2 linked regions of the Arabidopsis thaliana genome follow. The protein of the gene in region 2 interacts with the protein of the main gene of each other region in a pairwise test. Each region holds a gene or a part of one and is shown on either strand. Other genes may lie near its edges.

Region 1 (5,690 bases), on a different chromosome or scaffold from region 2:
CAATTAAATTTGGACCTAAATATCCAAAACAACTAAACTATTCAAAAATTATTTATTATGTTTGTCAAAATTTAGTAAAATATATTCAGATATAATTAAATTTATTAAAACTTAACAAATTTAAAAGTTTTTTTTGTTTGGAGATGCGCTATCTACATACAAATTTACCGTTTCTATTTTTTTGGGTATTTTTAGGGTCTGAAACTTTTTATCCAAACTGACCCAAACCCAACTGGATCAGACCCGAACCAGAACCGAATATTTATAATTATTCTATTGGGTAGTAAATCATATACCCATTAATCCCAAACCCGAACGGGTTCTACCCGAACTCGAATGGGTTACTCATATGCCCAATATTCTCTGATTTAATTATCTAAAAACTCTTTAAAAAAAACATATGTTTTACTAACTACTTTTTATTCAAAAAAATTTAGTGTTTAAAAAAACATATTATTTAGTGTTTAAAATTATACACTTGTATTTTGATTGTTAATTTTAGAGTTTCACATGTAGTATACCATCTTGTATTAATATCGATTTAGGGCCTGACTGTTTTAAACGCAGCGGGTGCGGTTGCGGTTGCGGGAGTTTGCGGAAACGGGCGGTTGCGGTTTCAAGCGTTATCAAGCGTTTTGAAAATTCCTTATTGGGTAGAGTTTTAGTAAACCCGTGGATATCCGATTGGCCCGGAAATTACCCGTTACCCAAAAAGAGTATTCAAAAACCCAAACATTAATTTAACATCCAAAATATTAATTATATTTAATCGTAATATTATCTAATTATCTAAGATTATAATTATAAATCTAAATATGTCAATTAAATTTGGACCTAAATATCCAAAACAACTAAACTATTGAATGAATAAACAACGATGCTATGAAATAGTTAAAGAATTACACTAGCTAATGAATGAATAAAAGGATAGATGATAGTTATGTTTGATTCTTGATTTTGATTTTCATCGAATGCCATAATTGAGATAATAAGGTTACAATATATTGATTAAGGTTTTCTGATAAAAATAAGATATATAAAAGATTAGATTATTTTAATTATAGTGATTAGAATTTGGGTGGAAGCCACCATTATTTAATTTAATTAAAAAAATATTATTTTTTTAACCTAACCGCTACCGCCCGCAACCGCAAACGCTTGCGGGAAGGAGCTTTTGAAAACGGGCGATTTCGAGCGGTCCAAAGCGATGTCTAGCGGTTTCTATGATTGGTGTCAATCGCTAACAATCGCTACCAATCGCAAACGCTGCGTTTGCGGGTGGTAAAGGGAGAACCAATCAAGCCCTTAAACCCGTCAATTCTAGGATTTTCCAGCTTCTATTAAATATTGAATCACATCATACACATAAAAAAAATCTAATATGTTATTAATTATTGTAGTATATAAGATTAAAAATTTTTAAAATAATATGTATGAAATTGAATATAAATATTCAAATTATGACCCAATACTCAGTAGAAAATTTTCTTAAATCTATTTTTGATCCGTTATAATATTTTTTATGTATTGAACAGTTTATATTCGTTTTTAAAAATTCAAATTATGGTATATGCGAAGCAACTCTAATTATTTTTTTATAACGATGATATTATTTTTTCGCAAAAATAGAATCATATAAAGATGAGAGGTGAACTATAATAATTAATAAAAAATTAATATAAAATTTAGATATCAAATCTAATTTGTTGATTTTGATTGGTTACTTTTTTGGAAATTAATAATGTATTTCGTTTTTTAATTAAATTAGTATTTAACTTAAATTTTTAAAGAGATGAATTAATTTACTCTTTAAATTTTATTTCTAATGGCATACTTATGTAATTACTTACAAAGGTTATATTTAAAATGTACTTCCCAAATAATATAGTAGGATATCCCAATGATATTTAGACAAAGAAAAATAAAAAAACAGGTCAATCTTGCTTGCGAGTATTTGGGGAAGGAGTTTTGAGAGACAAACCAAGATCTCTGCAAGACTCTTCATTAGGCTGCAAGCTTCCAAGTAAAGAACCAAAAGCTGTTCTTGAAGCTTAAATGTGGCAAATGTTCTTGTGGGGTAATAAAATCTAATAATATGCATTAATTATAGAACCACTATGCTGCATAGGAATTCACTTTATATATGCATCTTAGGTGGTAAATAATCTTTTATGCCACTTATCATATGGCAACTCGTAATGATCCACCATTTTTATTTTATGCCAAAATGCTTCAACTTTATCTTCCAAAATGAATGTAACACTGTCAGATTTTCCTTTATGTTGTCTTTTATGTTCTACTGATTTAGCTGAATTATGCGCATCTCTTACGTATTTGTCTAATTATTGAAATGAAAATGAACAACTGAAAAAAAGATTCTAAACTCGTAACAAAAGTAGGCAAGTTGAATTAGGAAAATCTCATGACTATCGTGGTGGAAATTGGTTCTTAGCTCTTCACATCAATAACGAATATTCCACTTTATAAGAGGCAACTAGCCTCTTCAACAACGTAAAAAGAAAGAAAGAATAAAAGACCATACAAAAAGCAGTTCATGACCATAATATTTTTGGTCTGATTTTATTTAGCTGTGAGAAAAAAAAATGCCAGCTTCATATATCTGGACGAGCCTGTCTAAGCAGTACCTTCCTTCAAATAAGCGATGAGATCGGCACGATCTTGCGGTTTTTTCAGTCCAGGAAACACCATTTTTGTTCCAGGGATGTACTGTAACAAGCAAAGAAATTCCACACCAATTCAATCAAATTGAGATCTTATCTCTTCATAATTGCTCAAAAAGAAACAAGCGACCCAAAAGTGTGAAGAAAGGAGTCAGTATTAGCCAAACAGCATTTTCTTGACAGACAATATTATGTTTCGATATTCTAGAATATGCAATATAATAAATTGGAACACTGTTGAGATGATGATGCACACACAGGTTATGATGCACCAGCTTAAAGAGTGAAAGATGAATCATAAGATTTGTGGAAAATTCCACAAATCAGCTCAATAAAGAGACAATAGACAAGAGTGAAGGAAAGACTCAAGTATTAACCAAAACAAATGTTGCTAATTGCTTGATATTCTTGAACATGCAATAGAAAACAAATGGCACAACATTGAGATGTTGCACTTATTAGTGTACCATTTTGAAAGATGATGTCCAATTTCACAAATATGGAGATTTTTGCACCAAACCGAAATGAACAAACAAATTGTGTTTCTAGATCAACCTAACAATACTTAAGAAGGTATAAAGACTCATAATTCCTTTTGCAACAAATATTCTAAAACTAAAGACCACTAATCCACAAATTAGCTTATGAACAATCAAGAACCTTAATCACCAGACTCTATGATCGAAGTCCATTAAAGATTAAAGAGCAATCAAATACCTTCTTAGGATTCAACAAGTAATCGTAAAGAGTCTTCTCCTCCCAATTCACAGCCATGCTTTTGTTAGCAGCAGAGTAAGAATATCCTGGAGTTGTTCCAGATTGTCTTCCAAACAATCCATTCAAATTCGGTCCTGAATTCATAACAAAATTCCAAAATTCAAAATAAAGACATACGGATCCTAAACAAACACAAACGAAGATCAATACGAGAAAACGAAACGCATGTGGTAGATCCAGATTCGAACAAAGCGTAACCAAATAAAATCAAACGATGATGATACAGAATATTGTGGATCTAAGAGAGAATCAGAGGAACAGACCTTGTTTGTGACCGGCACCTTTCTCGACGGTGTGACACTGAGCGCACTTGGTTCTGAAGATCTTTTCACCGGCTTTGGGGTTTCCGGGAGGTGCTTCGTCGAACGACGCCATTGAAGAAGCAACAAGGAAGAAATATCAACGGTGGCTTTTTGACGGTTTCTGATTTTTTTTTGAAATGACCTTTTTTATGAGAAGTGAGAAAAAGAAGGTTCGAGGAGGCAGAAGAAAAATAGAGGTGGCGTGAGAGATACACAGGCCATACGTTTTGTTCTGGGTACACGTGGCGTCTAAATAGTGGTTTATTTTGAGTCGGTTGACTATTTATTTCTGTTTTTTTTTATTATTTTATAAAACTCGGTTTAGGAAGTGGGCTTACAAATGGGCTCAGAAAGTAAATATTCGGGCCTAAAATTCACATATTTGTTTTTTTTTATTTTTATTTTTTACAACCTTTATATTTATAACCCAAAAATATTTTCTTGACTACTATATATAGTTTTTTATTTAATGAAATATTATTTTTAGTGAAAAATAGTAAAAAAACAAAAAAGGTAGTTTTGCAAATCTCCCAAAGTAAAAGGTAATTTTAAGACGGGTTTTATTTACATTCCAACTTTCATTTTCACAGCTTTAATTTTCAAATTTCGTTGTAAACTCACTTCTCAAATAGTAATATTTAGAAGTTAACCAATTAATTAAAGAGGTATGCCAAAAGTGTTAAAAATAAAATACATATATACACACATGAAAATATGCAAGTCCATTCTTTTTTTTTCATTTATGGAAATCTATATTTGTCATTCTTTTAATTGTTTAAAAAGTTTAGTGAAACATTCAACTCACGATTGATAAATTTTCATGTTCTAGAAGTTTTATACACACCAAAGATATTATTATTTTCATATATGATATATCCAAATGTAATTCAAGTAAAAATGATTAAAAGTTTTATAAGTAAAATGAGTAACAAACTAACAATGACTCAACTATTTTTCAGGTAAAAAAAAGGAAAAATTAATAATCCTTATTTAACTCTAAAACTTTAGAGAAATTTGCAAAAATACCATTTTTCTCCTAATTATCTTTTTGTCCACTTTTACTCTTGGGCAGTTCGTTTTATTTCTTCTGCAAAATCTGTATCATCTTTGGATCCGAAAATATTGGAATATCATCACGATTTTAGAAATGAAATCAATTACTTCTTTAAGCAGACATGGATATTTTACTTTTGTCAGTTGCAGAACTCCATAGTTAAAGTTTGAAAGTGTTCTCGTCAATGATAAAACTTCAAATTCAACTTCAAAATAATTTGTATTTTGCATTATAGTTATCATATTGTTTAGTTCATAAAAGCTTATATATATAACTATAAAACATACATTAAATAAATATTATAAGCAAATTGATTAATAAATAAAACATTACATTACAATATAAAATTACATATAAATAATAATAATAAACTCACAAATTAAGTCACAACTTCCAAATAGAATACAAAAACACTGAATAAACTTGTGCATCATATGTACTCTCTAACATCACAATCTCTATAAATGTTTTCATTTCAAATCAATTTAAGTAGAGATGAGGGTGAATTAAATTTCATCACATTGTCCGAAAGTAATAAACCACATGTTAATATTTTGTTTTCATCAAATGAATAAATTCTTAATCTACTAATAAAAGTGCAGCAACTAAGGGAAAGAGCTATGAGATAGCTCAACAACATATGCAAAATCTAGCAAAATAAAAATAAAAATTAATGAGTTTATTCAGTTTGAACTACTAAGAATGATACCCAAAAACAAAATTCAAAAAAAAAAAAAAAAACATTCGATCACATCAAATTTGTATATATATAATACTTTGGTGACCTTTGTATTGTTGTAGTATTTTATTTCTTGTAACATTTATGTGTTCATGTAACTTTATTTCTTTTATTACTACATTTTGTATTAAATTTGT
Region 2 (7,832 bases):
GAATATTAACGCCTGAAAAAGACCAAAACCGAAATCGTCAAGAACTTGTTTTGATCCTTAATTTTTCCGGCAATTATTGAGATTGATTTGTTCTTGGAGAACTTACGATAAGCATTGCGATGAAAGATCCAATCAGAGCCGCCACAGTAGCTGCAATTAACGTTGTTACATTAACGAGTTCGGTCATTGTTTTATACAAAGGGGTTTCTTGTGCAAGAAGTTAGGGTAACTAGAAATTGATAGAGAGAGATAGTTTACCGAAGAATGGAACTGTGAGTGCAACGACCAAAGTGGAGAGAACTAATATGGTTCTAAAGAGCATAGAGACACCTTTGGATCTCATCTTTCTTGATGAAGACGGTATGAGTTCTTCTAGGCTTAGCATTACTGGAGTGATCGTTAAAGCGTATTTCGTCATTGGTGTTACGACCTAATCATACAAATGAGATAGGAATTGAGAGAAAATTATTATGAACAGAATGTGAAGAAGGTCTGAGATTCTTGATTTGGAAGGTTATCTAACCGCTGTCCAGACTGCGATTTTAGATGAGGTGAAATGTGGTGGCATGTTCAGTGTAAATTGGGATTGAATCGCATCACCAAACATCGTGAATCCACAAACCGCTACCGCAATGTAAAATAGAGTGCAAAACGCAAAACTACATAACGCAACAAACAATTATTTTATGAAATGAGAAGTGATGAAAATTAGACCTAGAGGTTTCTTGCGCTATAAGCAAAAGTTGTTTTACCTGATGAGAAGCACCGTAGGAAACTTGGAAGGTTCTTTCATGGATGAGTAAATGTTGGGGAAAACAGAGTGACTCCCGAAACCGAACCCGTAAATTCCGATTGCGACAGGTATGTTAGTTATATCAAGAGCTTGTCCGCTTATGTGAAATCCAACCCCGTCTACTGATCCAGCCCAAAAGAGGCAAAGCGCAAGCAAGATTGAGGAGATGACACCTCCGGCTAAGGAAACAAAACATTTCTTAAATTTAATTAAAGAGTTCAAATCTCAGAGATTGTTGTGTGTGCCAATTACGAGATGAACCTGAGAGATAGGACAATAAGCTGAGGTCTTTGAGCCAGACAGTAGGAAGAACAATAAGAGTCGTGGTAATGGCGAAAACTTGAGTAGAATCTAAAGAAAATCCGTTGATGTATAAGGAGGTATTTGGGAACATTCTTGACAAATTATCACTCATCATGATTATGTATTCCACACAAGATGCCTACAGAAAAAAATTCAAAGTTAGGACCTCAATTTCTTCAATCATGATATGAAACATGAAAGAGAGTTTGGTACTTACGTATAACTCTACGTAGAGAAGTATCTGAAATGTAATTCCAAACCCAAGTTAAGTTAGGATCACAATTCACACACAAACAAAGTTAAGATTGATTATTTGAAAAATAATCTTACAGAGACGAGGATGCGTCCAGTGGTTCCGAATGCAGCTTGACCGATGTCCGGGTAAGTGTGGATTCCAGGGGAGTTCTCGAGACATCTCTTGAGGAGAATGCCGGTGTAGAAAGTGATAATGCCAAAGGAGAAGAGTATGAAAAGCCCTAACCATCCTCCTTCTTTAACTGCGTAAGGCATTGTAAGTAAAGCTACTCCACATAGAACGTTAATTCCTGCAAAAAGAGAATGTTAAGAATCTCAATCTAAATAGAAAAGATAATCGTAAACTCAGTACTCTCGCACTAATGCTATACTAAACGTAAACTCAGTTCATCAATATATATCAGATTTGGTTTCAGTTTGATTATTTGACTAATCTTGGAAAACAGAGAAAACCTAACCAAAACTCAGATTGAACATTCCTAATGCAATTATTACCGTTGAGAACGGATTGAGAGAATGTGCAACTGCGGTTTTCTTGGGGAGTTAAAAGATCCCCTGGGACTGATAGCTGGAGATGAGAAGCAAGAAATGATTTGATGGAGGACACAACAGAGCTTTGGATCTCGTCTTTGTCTATGAGAAGTTGCTGTTTGCTTGGTGAAGAAGTAAACGAACCGAAAACAGAGCTTTGTCGTCTCTGGCGAAATGAAGAGACAAAACTTGTACTAGTCGGAGGTGTAACTCCAGTCAACAAATCCATAGATTGTCTGAAAATATCCCCAAGAACACCAAAATTATTCTCTAAAGAATAATTTCTTCAGATCTCTTACAAAAACAGAGCACTTAAAAAGAAAATGATTTACCGATAACTTCGAGGCCACGGAACGGGAACGTCTTCGGATCTGTTACGAGATAAAGGAGTTGAGGGAACGGAGCTCTCTGTTTGGCTTTCTTCATCTTCCTCATCGAACGTGTGATACAAATCTTCCCTTTCTTGATCGAATGTCTCGTTTTGCTTCATCTACTTTGTTTGTATTCTTCTACTGTGCTCTGTTTCAAAAACCAACAAAAGGTCTAAAAAGAAGAAGAAGAAGATTGAGAAGAAGCAACTAGGGGACGCAACGAAACGTGTTCTGTTTTCAAGTTCTAAATTATTGTCACGTTTCTTTATATTCTTTAATTAGCAGTCTCCTTACCTATGATGATGTCTCCCTGAATTTGTTTTTCCCCATAATTTAAATGTATTAATGAACAAATTCACGATTTTCCCATTATTCCACCAATAAGATAAATTTAATAATGTCCCATTATCCTATCACTACTAAATCTAAGAAACTTCAAGAACAATTCAAAGAATCTTCTACTCTGACGCGTAAGGTTCATTTACAAAAAATTTAGTTTTTATACAATAATACTATTTGCTTGAAAAAATATAAAAACGTTTCTGGCGAGGTTATTTATAAAACACAGAAATAGACACGTAATGAAGATTAGTTGATATGCATGTGATGTAAGAAGCCAATGACAGTTGGGTCATTAATTGGCCATTAAATGTTCATCTCTAATTACTTATGCAGCAGTTAAATTTATTTTTTGTTCGTTTTATTTTGGTAGCTGAGCACCTTCGTCTATAACTGCTTAAAAACTTACAATAATACTCAGACAATTTCTTACAGAACAAGAAAGCAAAGAAACTTACACATAAAAAAGCAATTGTATATATATATATATATATATATATCCACCCATCTCCAAGCAACCATTGATCATTCCAAGCTATCTACTTTTGCAGAGGTATATTGTAGAGAAGAAGAGGAATGAGAAATGGAGCTTTTTACATATATATGAAGAAGACTTATGATTTATCAATCTGGTTAAGCTTTCCGAGTCCATTGCAGTTAGCACAAACGATCTGAGGAAGATCCTTCCGTGCGGCGTTGGCTCTCAGAGTCACTCCTCCTTTCCTCACAAATCCTGCTCCGTCACATTCCGGACACCTAAACCACACACATTTCAGAGCTTAAACTCACAATGTACAATCTCTGATTCAGTTTACTACATCGGCTAAGAGTTTATGTACGTTTTCAAAATCCATAACAGAGGATTTAGTCCGGTTAAGATAATTCGAATGTTGAACCGGACAATAAACTATGATAATCTGCAATTGATCAGTCAAAATTTGGTTTAACGAGCATTAAAACCGGTTTAAGTCACAAGGTAAAAAGATGAGAGTGGTTTACGTGTCTTTGCGTTTGAAGAGGATCGGGAATGCAGTTCCGACGAGTGCAACGGCGATGGCTCCGCCGATTAAGTAGATTGTTCCGTCAGAAGAGACATCACCGACGGCGGCGACAACTACGGAGGAAGAAGATCTCTTGTTTTTGGGAAGAATCACATTGTTCGGTGATGGTGATCCCCACGAAGAAGAATGTTTCAGGAAGTTGGTTGATGACACGAACGTCGTCTGCAATGCCGGTGCGATCGTCATAATTTAGGGTTTTAAGTGACTGATTTCGATTTGGGGGAAGTAATAAGAAGAAGTGATTTGATTTTTATGGAAAGGTTTTGAATTTGGATTTGCTTCGTGACGTGTCACTCTCTCGAAGTGGATAACGTTTTCACTTGGGATTTTTGGGGTTCTTCAGTTTTCTTTTGTGTGTGGATAAGGTAGGCCCCTTCAAGATATTTCGAGTTAACAATTGGGCCTGTTAAGCCCATTATTAAGTTAGCGTGAACATAAGGCCCAAACTATTTGTCATTGTCTCTGACTCTCTGACCTTCGCAGAGTCTTTCTCTTCTTCCGTTGCTTCAATGGCGAAAGACGGACCTAACTGGGACGGTCTGCTTAAGTGGAGTCTCTCTCACTCCGATGGTACTCGACCTACTTGCCAATTAAGGTACGAAGTTTCTTTGTAATTTCAGGTTTTGTTGGTCACTTAGTGGAGCTTATGTTGTTTGTTGGGTTGTTTTAGAAATTTGCGTGGTTCTGCGTCAGTTTCTTATGAGGAATGAATCATGTAGTGGAATTTGACTATTTGATTTGGTATTGTTTGGTAGATGGTTTTTGATGATATGAAATTGTTTGGTTAGACAGTGAGGAGGATCGAAAATGGTTTGCAGAAGCTATGCAATCACAAACGGTAGATGTAGTCAAGCGGTTGAAGGAGATTACACAGGTATTGCAGACACCTCAACAAGTTTTGGAGGCTCATGAAGTGACCCCTCAAGATATTGAAGGTTCAATATGGAGTTCACTATTGTTTTCTTAGCTATTTTCTCTCTTGTTGGTTACTAAGATTTTGAGTTATGATGATTTGGTAGGTTTGTTGGATGAGTTGCAGGAACATGTTGAATCGATTGATATGGCTAATGGTGAGTCTTTTCATACTTTGACCTTGTAACTTTGTTCTATATCTGTCTTTTGATTGCTGGGCTTAACTTGTACTTCTTTGAATGTATGGGCAGATCTTCATTCCGTTGGAGGCTTGGTACCTCTTCTTGGCTACCTCAAAAACTCCAATGCTAATATCCGGGCTAAGTCTGCAGATGTTGTAAGCACAATAGTTGAGAACAATCCTCGGAGTCAAGAATCAGTTATGGAAGCCAATGGTTTAGAGTCCTTGCTTTTAAGGTTTACTTCAGACACCGATATGCATTCTCGAACACAGGCTCTCGGTGCAATATCATGTAAGCTGCTCTGAGTTCTATCCTATATACTTAGATGGTCGAATGCCTTTTTCAAAAACAAAAATGTCTATCGTAAATCTGATGAATGTATTGTGGTAAATTTGGGGTACAGCTTTGATTCGCAATAATAAACCTGGGATCACAGGTTTCCGGATTGCAAATGGTTACTCTGGTTTAAAAGATGCTTTGGAAACTGATAGTGTGAGATTTCAAAGGTAATAATACTCTTCACTTTTCTTCATGCTTGGATTCCTCTGAACTTTGAGAGAACACAAAGTTGTAACCTTTGTTCTGCTGTTGTCTAACTTTCAAAACTTTTGTCATTACTTTCTCATTCTTCAGGAAAGCTTTAAACTTGTTGCATTATCTTCTACAAGAGAATGACTCAGACTCCGATATTGCTATAGAATTCGGGCTTCACCATTTGATGATGCACCTCGTGTCTAGCTTCGATGCTGATGTAAGAGAAGCTGCTCTTCGAGGATTGCTTGAGCTCGTGAAAGCTAGAAAAGACTGTAGTACTTGTGGTTCTAGCATAGTGAAAGGCGATGAGAGACTCAGACAGATTCTAAAAGATCGGATCAAAGCAATCAGCCGGGTCAAAGCAATGAGCTTGTTTATGTCACAAGAAGATCTATCAGCCGCTAAAGAGGAGAGGCAGCTCTTAGATTCACTATGGACCACAATCTTCAACGAACCTTCTTCTCTTTAGAGACAAAGATACAAAGAGACAAAACCGTCTGTGCTTCCTTATATCATGAGTAAGCACTAAAACCGTCTTTTATGTCTTTGGACCCACCAGCTAAAGCTTGTGTCTTTAGAACACTAGTTAAAAGGATGGTAACCACTGTATAATGACCAAATTTTGATTCTATTTTGAGTTCAAATTTTCTCAGTTTCTCATTCAATGACCTAAAAACAGACCGTACAAGTACCAAATCAAGCTACTGCATGATAAACATAACATAAAAATCAGAAGCCTCTCACTTTGGAGGACAGAAAGTGATAACATAACGAGAAGCTCTACACTTATTCAAACTACTAGAATCATCAAACGCATAACTATAAGCTTTAGGACAAATCGCTTTAAACAGATTCGCGAACAGAGTCGGCTTACACGCCTGAGGATTCGCATATTCACCGGTGCAACAATACTTAGCCGATTGCATCGCCAAGCAAGCACTTTTACAACCAACCACTTTCCCATCTCTCTTAACTTCCAAAGCTGATGGACAACAAATGTTCAAATTCACTTCACAAGCCGCAACGCCACATCCAACTCCACCGCCGATTGGTTTCATCGACACCGGAAGATTGAAACCGTCGACGAGACTTACGTCGTAGAAATGAAGCGGAGAGGAAGATGAGCCTAATGTCATTTCTACTACGGTTGCTGGTGGTACACCGCCGGTTCCTTGGCAGTTGATAGAGCCGTCGTTGCAGTCTCCGGTTTGGCATGAGCCTTTACCGTTTTGGTTAAAGGTGCAGCCTTGTCTACCCCAGATTCGACCGGACCATTTATCCGGTACGTCTATGATGGTTTCTTCGCCGCTTCCCATGTGGAATCCGCCGTTTCTTGGTGTGATTTGGCCTCCGCCGCCGAGAATTCCCGGCCAAATGCTCTCCTGGCAGTTATTCACTATTATAAGCTGAGCTCCATCTGCAAAAGAACAAAGTCACTATTATTGAGAGGAATCAAAACGAGAAACAAAACCCATTTCATAAATTATCGAGAAGGAGAAGAGATATCGTACCAGTGAAGGCTGAGATAGTGAGAAAGAGAAGGAATAGAGTTGCAGATTTCGTCATTGTTGTTGATGTTGTTGTTGTTGTGTGGGGATATATCACTTCTAAAGTTTGCTTTTGTGTGTGTTGTGGTTGTTTTCAAGAGAATATTAATAAAGAATATGTTGAGGACGTCGTGGTCGAAGGAAGAAGTGGAAACTTGGGTTGCAAGACTAATATTGGTGTGGTGAAGTGGATTGTTGTATAGGGAACTGCCAAGTGCTAACGTTTTATAAACTGAGACTTTCATGGGATTAGTGGGAAAGAGAAAGATATGGAGGCTTGATCGTGAGCCTTCTTCTATGAAGAATGGGTTAAAGTTGGATTTAAAGAAAAAGAGAAAGATTCATATGTCTCTCAAACGTTTATTATTGGATAAAGATTAACACTCATAGATTTCTTCATCATTGCATTTCTTTAAGGCAAATTTGTTTATACTTTACAATCCATAACTAATTTTCAGACCTAGCTAAAATCTCATTGTCTAACATTTTAATTATTCTTAGAAATTGATTTGATATTTTTGAATATAGTTTTATAATTTTTGTAATAATGTCGTAATGTTACCACCTGAATTCACTGTTTTGAGTCTATATGAAAATTGTAATAAGGAAAATGTTAGAGTGCTTCACTAGAGTTTTGAACTTTTGATTTTATATGTCAGTTTGTTTTTCTTTCAAAAATTATGTTATATGTTATCTATGCGTATATAAACTTCATCACTTGCTAGTAGCCTAGCATGTCCCAACATTTCTTACCTTTGCTATGACCTTTTTCACTTTGTACATCAAATCAGCAGAGAGCATATATGCATTACTTCAATGAGAGGATTTGCTTTGTTTTTAAACAAAGGCTATATTTACACAAAACAAATCATTCTCTTTTTAATGTTCTTATAATATTTTGTTGGTTTTTGAAAGGTAATAATAGAGATCGAAGCCAAGAATGTCACTAGAGTCTATAGACTTGCTTTTAATAACAGGTGGGGAGGTTGAAGGTTTTGGTGGGT

What was found.
Region 1: the proteins of Fes1C (region 2) and CYTC-2 interact in a two-hybrid assay, tested with the Arabidopsis thaliana proteins (one large-scale study listed by BioGRID).

What each region holds. Positions count from the first base shown.
Region 1 is NC_003075.7:6,275,226-6,280,915, reverse strand, and holds CYTC-2 (cytochrome c-2), read right to left. Parts: upstream 3,969-5,690; 5' UTR 3,834-3,968; coding exon 3,722-3,833; intron 3,533-3,721; coding exon 3,399-3,532; intron 2,728-3,398; coding exon 2,635-2,727; 3' UTR 2,294-2,634; downstream 1-2,293. UniProt on the Arabidopsis thaliana protein: Electron carrier protein. The oxidized form of the cytochrome c heme group can accept an electron from the heme group of the cytochrome c1 subunit of cytochrome reductase.
Region 2 is NC_003076.8:422,399-430,230, reverse strand, and holds Fes1C (Fes1C), read left to right. Parts: upstream 1-3,852; 5' UTR 3,853-4,018; intron 4,019-4,114; exon of another isoform or gene 4,115-4,136; 5' UTR 4,137-4,162; coding exon 4,163-4,248; intron 4,249-4,441; exon of another isoform or gene 4,442-4,445; coding exon 4,446-4,588; intron 4,589-4,672; coding exon 4,673-4,723; intron 4,724-4,816; coding exon 4,817-5,038; intron 5,039-5,150; coding exon 5,151-5,253; intron 5,254-5,380; coding exon 5,381-5,750; downstream 5,751-7,832. Other genes in the region: AT5G02170 (Transmembrane amino acid transporter family protein), read right to left, coding at 1-12, 107-150, 259-430, 524-659, 753-972, 1,055-1,235, 1,314-1,337, 1,427-1,641 and 2 more; AT5G02160 (uncharacterized protein), read right to left, coding at 3,207-3,348, 3,592-3,839; AT5G02140 (Pathogenesis-related thaumatin superfamily protein), read right to left, coding at 5,794-5,950, 6,026-6,698, 6,793-6,847.